Linked DNA regions of Drosophila melanogaster. Changing the gene in region 2 together with the main gene of any one other region gives a genetic interaction. Each region holds a gene or a part of one and is shown on either strand. Other genes may lie near its edges.

The links.
Region 1: of jigr1 (region 2) and lap, changing one enhances a phenotype caused by changing the other (phenotypic enhancement), as found in Drosophila melanogaster (one study listed by BioGRID).

Annotation. Positions count from the first base shown.
Region 1 is NT_033777.3:7,184,963-7,190,006, reverse strand, and holds the start of lap (like-AP180), read right to left. Parts: upstream 3,014-5,044; 5' UTR 2,596-3,013; coding exon 2,460-2,595; intron 1-2,459. Other genes in the region: CG10055 (uncharacterized protein), read left to right, coding at 3,436-3,701, 3,797-4,193, 4,250-5,044. UniProt on the Drosophila melanogaster protein: Assembly protein recruiting clathrin and adaptor protein complex 2 (AP2) to cell membranes at sites of coated-pit formation and clathrin-vesicle assembly.
Region 2 is NT_033777.3:25,636,273-25,640,858, reverse strand, and holds the start of jigr1 (jing interacting gene regulatory 1), read right to left. Parts: upstream 3,017-4,586; 5' UTR 2,787-3,016; exon of another isoform or gene 2,330-2,786; intron 1,067-2,329; exon of another isoform or gene 906-1,066; intron 1-905.

The sequences.
Region 1 (5,044 bases), about 18 Mb from region 2:
ATTAGTTTCTTAACGCATATCCATACAGTAGATTAGAAAACAATAAAGAACGTTTTTTTTTTTTGTAATTTTCGGTTAGTGAACCATTTGCTCTTTTCCTTAATTTTGTACGTCCAACTCAACTTTACTTTTGGTTGCGATTAACTTTGACTTGATATTTATTTTCCCAAGCATTTATTGGAAAAATCAATCAGATTCGATATAACCGCCGACAACTATTAGTTATTATCCTCTAGATTTATTCAACAGTATATTTTTTTTACGAAAACTTAGTTCATATGAGCAAAACAACAAATGTTTACATGTTTAAGAAGCAACATAAAACTTTAAAAGTCAATTTATCTGTTCCAGAAACAAACAACGTTTCTGTAAAGATTATTATTATTATAATAACCGAACCTCCCATAAATTTAATCATCTTGTTTTTTGCGTCCCGTTATCGGTCGCGACTCTTAGTCGTTGTTTGCTTATCTGCGCTTTAAGCTTGCAGCCGCCATTCAAGCTAAATACTGACGGAAAAGTGTCGATGATAAGAGCTGAATCCCATTGTGTCTACTATCATGCGCTTCCATTTGAATCAATTCCCATTTCGGTTGGAAAGTGTTTGTCGCCGAGCAAGAAAAAATTGCATGGGATTCGAGGGGCGTTGCACATTTCACAAGCCATCGCAGATGTTCGCCGTCCTTTTGCTTCATTTTGTTTGGCTGACGGGCGCCAGGCCAGTGATTCATTTATACATAAATAAGAACAAATTTCAATAAACAGTAAATGTGGAAAATTGATCGGTCCTTGTAAACGAAACTGGTGAGTTTCTTAACGAGCACAGTGGCCTGGGGGTGTCACTTTATGACAAAACGTTGAAATCGCTGAGTAGTTAAGACATTTTGAATGAGTTATTTAGTTAAAATTCGTATCCGCCCTTTTTGAAATCTTCACTGATTCACATATATTTCGAAAATATTTACAGTGCTCGGATACCAAAAGCGATTGGCGACTTCTGTAGCGTAGTTATCGCTGGGGTCAATTCGCATGCTTATGCTCTTAAATACATAAATAAATAAATGTGTCGGGTATCGAGACTCCACTGTAGTGGGGGACCATTGATACTTAATTTTAATTATTATTGCCCACTTGTGTAGCTGGTTGAAATATTCTGGGATCTTTTCAATCGGTGTAAAGCTCATTAAGTGCTGTTGTTTCCGTGAACACACAACTGGTTTTATCATAGGACAAAAGTTGTTAACAAAAGAAAATAGAGAAAATAGGTAGAAGAAATATATTTCATGCTACCTGCTGACGTCTTGTAAAATGTACGGACTGACTTTTAACTCAGGTTTAATTTATTTAGACTTTTGGTAACTGAATTGAGCATAACGTTTTGGATAAAGTAATCAACTTGAATAAACAGCACATGTGGCCAAATTTTGGGTTATATTGGAAATTGGTTTGCGGCAACTGCAATACAATGTTTATGTGACAAGTAACGCCCCACAATATTGCCCTCTTTTATTCCCATTTACTCGTAGCCATATCTGATGAGTCATCTGAAAAGTGCCAACAAGCTAAATAAAAGGGGGTCAAAATGCGAGCAAAACTAGCCAAAAAAACAGATTCCAACGGGAATGAATGTCGTTAGGATATGGAGCTCTTTAGAAGTATTTGCAAAATTCAAACGTGTAAGCAAATCCAGCAAATTAGGGAAGACTCTTGCATAAATTTAACAAGCAATGACACCGTGACAAACACAATCCCTGCTTTCGTAGGCGTTTTAAGCCATTCAAAGCCCCTACAAACACACGTGCACCCGTGGGAAAGTGACGTAACATTAGAGAGAGAGAGAGAGTGTGTTGGTAGAAAGAGAGGGGAGTCCAATCAATGACGAACGGAGTCCACAAACACCAGCAGCTGAGCCACAGATGCAATTTGAGGGTGGTGGTTTGTGTTTGTGGGACTTTGTGGACCGTAATCAGTGGTTTCGTTTTCAGAAAACTTTGTGATTTATCGCACAAAAACAAAAGGCACGTGAAAATGGAGCGAGGAAGCCAAGAAACCCGAACTGGTTGCATCTGAATGTTGTTGCTAAATTACTTTTGCAGCGTACTAACTGTGCCGATGGTTTTTATATTTAGGCTACATTTAAATTTTTTATTTTCTTTGCTAATTTGTTAGGCACTCCTTACTTTAGTATATTATTCATTCCAATTTTTATTATTATTAAAATTTAAGTTAATTTCTAAACAGATTTTATTGCGACTTATGTTTGCAAATAAAAATAAATTAATTTTAAAGCGTTACAAAGTAACAATAATATTTTCGTGTGTTTGATGGGTACATTTCCACTAGTAGCACAAGGCTGTGCCTCTTTTCTCTCTGTGTTATAACAAGGAAATGTAACGGTGATTTACGCAATGAAAGACCAAGAGAGTGGGCAAGGGAAAGAGATAGACAGGGCAACTCACAGTCCAAGTGCTTCTTCTTCGGGCCAATGCATTCCTCCGTGGTGGCCTTGCAAACGGACTTGGCGAGTCCTTGGCCCGCAAGGCTGTGACGGGCGGCCAGCAGCCTGTCGTTGATCGTTTGCCCTGCCATGGTCATGATGAAGCTGTTGCTGTTGTTGTTTCTGCTGCCGCTCGCTGGTTTTTATTTACTTGATTAATTTAATTATGCACCAAAGGAGCTGACCACACCGACACACACACACACTCGAAAGCAGATACAGAGAGAGGGAGAGAGAGACACACACACACACGCGTATGGGGCGAGCGAGAGACAGAGAGGTATTGATTGATTGAGAATATTTCGAACGGGAAAACTCTGCTATGCGAGCCTCACGATTAAACTAACAGTAAAGATTTAGTGGTTCCTACGTCACAATCACTACACAATTTATCGCCGCGGTTTATGCGCTCTCTAACCGGTGCCTAACGCTGAAACGCGATTTTTTAATTCTCTATTTTTCCTCTGCCACAAATCGATAATGGCGACTGGCAAATGGAGCGAGCGTATGAGCAATGTCCTAAAGCGTCCACAAAGTGGAGCTAACGCGTGCAATCGACTTGAGTTTACGGCGTTAGGTGGGAAAATATCGATTGCCATAACGTAAGCGAATACGAAATAGCTGAACTTAGCTTTTACGATGTGTTCATATAAGTTCTGAAAATAAAAAAAAATAATGATAAATAAATAAATAAAAATATAAAATATTAAGATACTATAAATAAATCTTTTTTTATAACTTAGCACTTAAAATTCCCCAACAGCAGTTAAAAAGTAGCTAGATTTGTCGGAAGTGTAGCCAAACGTAACGTAAGCTAAGGGGCTGTCAACAGGAATTTTTAGTTTCGAGTAGGCGGTCATACTGGTCATTAAAATAAATAAAATTATACTAAAAAACAGTAGTTAGCACAATCAACAGTCTCGTAATAAAATTGTAAGATGTTGAATGGACAGATTGCACACAGTTATTTGGAGAACTCGTGCACGCTGATCATACCCCGCCCGCCTGTCCTGAATCAGTCCTCAAAGTCGGCCCAGCCAGCAGCAGCTGCTGCTGCTTCTTCTTCCGCTGGTGAGGAGTTTGGTCAGGAAGCGGGGTCGGGGTTGGCGGAAGCGGAGGCGTTGCATGTGGATCGCATAAGAAACTGCGATATATTCGTTGACGCGCACGATCTTTATTTCTACGCAGATGTTAAGCTGTACAAGTGAGTCACATCCGGCAATCTGTCGTGCCCATGGTGGGCCATGGTGGCGAAATTCCAGCGATATCATTGCGTACTTGTACTCCCTTTTCGGACAGATTCCACAGCCGTCGCACCTTCGACTTGCGAGAGCTGAAGACGCTGTTGATAAAGTTCAACACGACAGAGAATCACTACCAAATTTGCCTGCGCTGTCTGCCCCTAACAGCGGGTGCCCAGGAAGGACCCGGTGGAGAAAGAGGCGGAGGCGGTGGTACGGGGGATGCAGCCAAGCAGTGGAATAGTCGCAAAGAGTACATAGCCGCATTCCTGCACCTACCCACACTGAGTGCCAATTTGCCGGACAAGCAGCCTCTGGTGCAGGAATGGAAACTCAAACGAATCACCGATCAGTGCCAATTGCAGCTCGACGACCACGAGCGCACCTACAAGCTGACCAACAATTTTGGGTACGGCTATGCTAGCGAATACAGCGGACCGCTAGACCTGAGTGAGGTGAGTTCAATTGGTTAACCTGCTCTTCCGCGCACTAAACACAGATGTTTTCACAGTTGGACAGAGCCACGTGCCGCGTGTCGGAGCCACATCGCATGAGCCCCATCCAAAGGCGGCAAGAGCGCGTGGTCGATGAGATGAAGCGCTTTTCCCGCGAGCAGTACAAAATAAATTTTGTGGAGCTACAGGTTCCGTCCGGTCACCAGAATCCTTTACGCTACAAACCGAAAATCTACGAGACTTCCATGACCCAGGAGCAAGCGCATCTGCTGCACAACATCAGCCGAATGCAGACACGGGAGCAGCAGCCGTGCGACGTTTTTCGGCAAAACGAGATCGATTGCGGGCTGATAAGCATTCTGTTGGCCATATGCTATGATGTGCGGACGACGAACAATGAGCCGACGTGTGAATCGGGCTGGACGCGAAGCATACTGTGCCCGCTTTATTGCTACTTTGAGCAATTCGACAACTATCGGGACGTACTGGTTGCCTTCCTGCGGCGAATGATCACCTACCCGCTGTACCGCAATTTCGAGTTGGGCCGCCAATGTGTACGGGATGCCATAGAAGTTTTAAAGGGCGGTCGCAACTGGTTAATTAATCAGCTGCTGCTAACGCACCAGCAGTTCGCCAGCAGTGATCCCAGTCGCGATAGCTTCAACAACTACTATTTGGAGGACTATATACGATATGTGACCAGCCCGAGCGCCTGCAGTGATGAGCACATGCGCCTTCTTGCCCGCAACCTTAAGAACGTGCTGATGGACGTAAACAAGCAACACTTGGGCCTGGGAGTGACCGAGATTGAGACTGAGCTGATCAAGGAGCTGATGCAGGAGATGCGCATC
Region 2 (4,586 bases):
CAACAACAACAAACAGCGGCAAAAAAACAGAAATATCAAGATAAAAATATTTTTTCGGGCGGCCCTTTGTGGCTCTTCGATGGGACAGTGGCTACACTGCCAAATATTACCCAGTCATAACGGTCAAATAAGATAATTAATAACCTCGCCAAATTTGAATAAATAATTACATATAAATTGAATAGACTGGAACCTTGAAACTATCTTTGCACCTATCAAAGTGATTTTAGTTAAGGTATGTCATGTCAATATTAGTCTTGATTGTTTCCGGTGTATTGGCCCGCCTAAACCAAGTATTTGCTGATTGCGGCTTTGTTGTTGTTATTGTCGTGGCGCGTCTCAAGTCTGGAGTCGTCTCTTTGGGCTCTCTTAAGGGATCTTCTTCTGGGATCTGGGACTTCCTCCCTCCACACACGCGTTTTGAATTCGATTTGCTGATTGCCGTTTGCTTCTTGGCGAGATTTCGATTTCGTCGGCAACAACAGCAACGACGAGCCTCGACCATGAAACAATTTTATATTTTTGTGCAGAAAAAACGAAGATCAATAAAATTTTACCGACAACTGTATTTCGCTCAGACATCGGAGTATAGGGCCCTAAAATTAGTGACCAAATTGTCAAAGTGTGGGCTTTTGGGAGGGGGTGTGGGTCACATTTTTGGTTACAGTAATCAGGACAGAATCGAGCAAAAAGAAATTGAAACTAAGCAGCTGGTAAAAATTTGATCTTAATTTTTTGTGCGCTTCGGTTTTGTAGACTCCGAAAGAGCTACAAAACAAAGTGTTGAAATTTATTTAGGGAATGTGGAGCTTTGTTGCGTTAGAAGGTTATGTTCACTCCATGGGAAACTAATGTGGCAAAAGACAGATTGGGACTGATTGATATGGACTACGATAAATGCTTACATGACCCATGAATTGTTATAATTAATAGTATAGGAAAGAAATGAGTGTATAAATAATATTTCACATCAAGAAAGTAGTTTTACTGCAGCATTTTCCTTGATTTCCTATTATCTACATTTGAGTTGAAAAGGTCCAGAAGTTTTGCCTATCAACTGTGAACTAAAAACACACAAAAAGAAAGTTGCCCCTAGGCCTTGTGCATAATTCTGTAGAAAAGCGAGAAACAAGGAGGCTTTGTAAAAAATGGGGATGAGAAGAGAGGGCGCCGTGTGAGTTCCTGCAGAATCCGCTGCAAGAAAGGTGCTCCAACAACAACAAAAACAAAAATGGCAATTCCCAGAAACGAGAGTGTGTGGGAGGTGGAGAAGGTGAAGATGGAGAATTCTTCCAAAGGAGCAAGAAGAGCAAAGAATAGGGGCCGTCACTAATGAATTTGTATGCAGAGACCGCAATGATTTGGCACAAAAACAAAAGCAACAGTAACGGAAATGCGAGGATTAAGAAAAAAAAGGAAAACGCGGGTCCAACGAACAACATTTTGTGAAATTAGTGCAGACAGTCGAAAAACGCACCTTTTATGTTTTGTAGCCTCTCTTCACATTTTACGATTGCCAGTTGTTTCTTTTTCCATGATTTTTGATTTATGCAAAAGCAATAAAAATTATTATAATGAAGGCGCTGACATGGCTGATGGCCAGAGCAAAAAGCGTGCACTGAGAGAAATAGCTTATACGAATCATCATCAAAGTTCGTCAAAATGATTATTCAATCAATCGGTTTCTTGAAGAAAGTGTGAAGATTTTGAAAAATAAATAAGTTATCCTGGTTTAATATTTAGTTTAAATACTTTTTAAAAACTACAACTGCCATTCTAATTTAAATTAAGATCCTCACATTTTATGTCTGTGTAGGCGAAGAACAGAGTTGGCGACACGTGATGATGGTAGGGATAAGGAGAAGAACTGGGGGCGATGACGATGCTTATGTTCCTTGTCCGTTACTTTAACTTTACTTGCTCTTTCTCCCGCACTGGGGCTCATGTTAAAAAACAAATAAAAGTTCAACAAAAAAGAGCGCGAAGAGAATGAGTCAGAATGTTTGTTTGACTTCTGCACAAAGAATGGCTTCTTATTTCTTTGTGCTTCTGCAAAAGCACATGTAAATAAATCAAAAGGCGACAGGAAAATCGCCATTTTCCCCGCCTATATGCACAATCATTTGGGCGCAAAAAGACTTTTTAGCAGAGCGCTTTAGTTTAACTTCCAACTATTAGCTATTTTGATGGTCAGCATAAATTCTTCACCTTTTTGCCGTAATTATCTGCAGGAGAGAGTCACTCCTCGCGGCTGCGCCCAAAAACGGTTAAACATAAAAAAACTAACGGCAGTTTTATAACGCTGGTCTTGGGAACTTGGGGAGATTACCTTTTGGGAGGCTGCGCCAAAAATGAGCGGAAAATGCCCGCAAAAAGAGTGGGCGCTCAGAGATCCCCGAAGATGATACACAAGCAATCAAAAGAAATGCAACGGCCTCATCGCGCTCCTCATCCTTCTTCTCCTCCTTCCTCCTCTATTCCATCTTCACCCATTTCTTCCTGCACTTGCCGATGCACCGTTACGCGGAGTTGAGCCCGGGTTCAAGATCACCGCACCCAGCCAAATGTTTTTTCTGTTATTTTTTCCTTGATTTTTTCGGGCGCATTCTCCGCCTTGTCTCTTTGCACTTTTACACAGATTCTTTGGGGGATATTTCGTCGGTTTATGATGTTTCTTTTCCTTTAGTTGGTGTTTTTCTATTTTTTTTTTTTTGTGAGGGCACTTGGGACTAACGGTTCTGTTTGGTGAAGTTAACAAATAAAAGTAGCGCGCGCACTCAACTCACCGACAAACAAACACAAGCGCACAAAAATGTTTAACACACCATCGTCGTGCCGGAGGCTCAAGGCTTTAACTTCCTCGATCCGCAGTAACTTGGTCACTTTTTACTTTTATTTCTTTTGATCAGTAGTAGTCAGGAGTTGGAAGGCTCTTTTGAGACACAACCGTCGCCGCCGATGGATTGCGCGCAATTGAATTTCCTCCACAGCGGCGACTCAGCTCGTCGCCTCAACGAAAACGACTTCAGAACTCAGACTCGAATTTCTCTGCCGACGCCGGCAGAAGCAGCGGCTGCAAAAAGGAACGCAGCTCGCAGGGGTGGCAACTTTTAGATACCTACTACCTGCCTTTTAAGGGGCATAGAATGTATAAAGTAACACTTCAAGTCGTGGAGTCTGACGTTAGCTAGACATAAAATATAACAACTTAAGTATACATACATATGTGTATAAATTATACTTTTGTTTAAGGATTTTCATAGTGTATTGGTTTAAATTTAAATGCAGAATAAGATGCATAGCTATATCCTTAGCAACTCGTATGAACTCTCTTACTCTCGAAAAATAAAGGGTACCTCGATCTTTGTTCGCTCTCTGCGCCGAATCGCTTGATACTCTCCCAGAAAGGACCAAAGGTTTCCCTAACAAGGCTTCTGGAATGTCGTAGAACAGGGGGATGTTATGTCATACGAGAAAGAGACTGTCTAAATAAGGATGCAGCCACTGATTTTGAAGGATTTCAAAAGCCTCACCTAATAGATTTTTTTAGGATACTTCTAGAATAATTTATAATATATTTTTAAATTTAAGAGACATATTTAGATATGGAAAGTTCTGCGTAAAGGATACACTTTAAAAGATTTAATGTATATTTATGAAAGCAAATTCATTGCTGACTTACTATAGGTACATATCCCAACATCAGCAATTGTATCCTTCCGAATGCATAGAAGATCCCCTAGAAGCCCAAAAAAGAAGTTTTAACTAAGACTTAAAGCCCAAAAAATGTTGTCCGTCGAGTGAGGCCTTCTGTCAGCTAATGATCGCCCAGAGCAGGCTGGTAAAAGTTGCGAACCTTGGGCCCGGGGACAACTCCATTAGGGCGGCCCACATTCGGTGGCCAGTTGGGTTTACATTTGGTTGGCGAGCAGGTGCATCGGCGGCAAGAGTGCGACCGAGAGTCGCGAGGAAAGTTGCGGCGCGTGGCTAGAGATCGATGAAGAAACCAGAAGACGAAGACCCGCGCTGCCCGCATATCGCGCATCAGGACAATCGCTGAGGCACGAGGCATGTCCGGACACATCTGGAGTGGCACAGAGTCTCATAGTCACACCTTGAGCAGAGCTGATCGCTTAGCTATGAAAAAGATACCATGAAATTTATTACATTTCTTTCAACCAGATCCTTTTTAAGCTTGATCAAAGAACTAAGAACTATAAATCAATTAATGGCATTTAAGATCATTTGTAAGATCAATAACATATTTCGAAAATGAAACCAACAAAGGATTTAAGTTTACTAACTTTTTATTCGGCTTGTAATTGTGCTTTATGCTTATCTTCAATGTGTCTGTACTTATATAATGAGGACGGCTAATATTTCAGCTTTTTTGCAGCGCAGCATAAGAGTCGCAATTTAGCATAAATGAAAACTGAACTGAGATCGCCGATGGCCAGGGCATCATTAAACACATTAACAGACAACAGACGATGGCGATGGCAGGTGATGCCAAACAGAGACAGGTTGGCAAACTGACTGAGTGGCTAAATGACTGACGGTATGACTGACTGACGGACTGAATGACT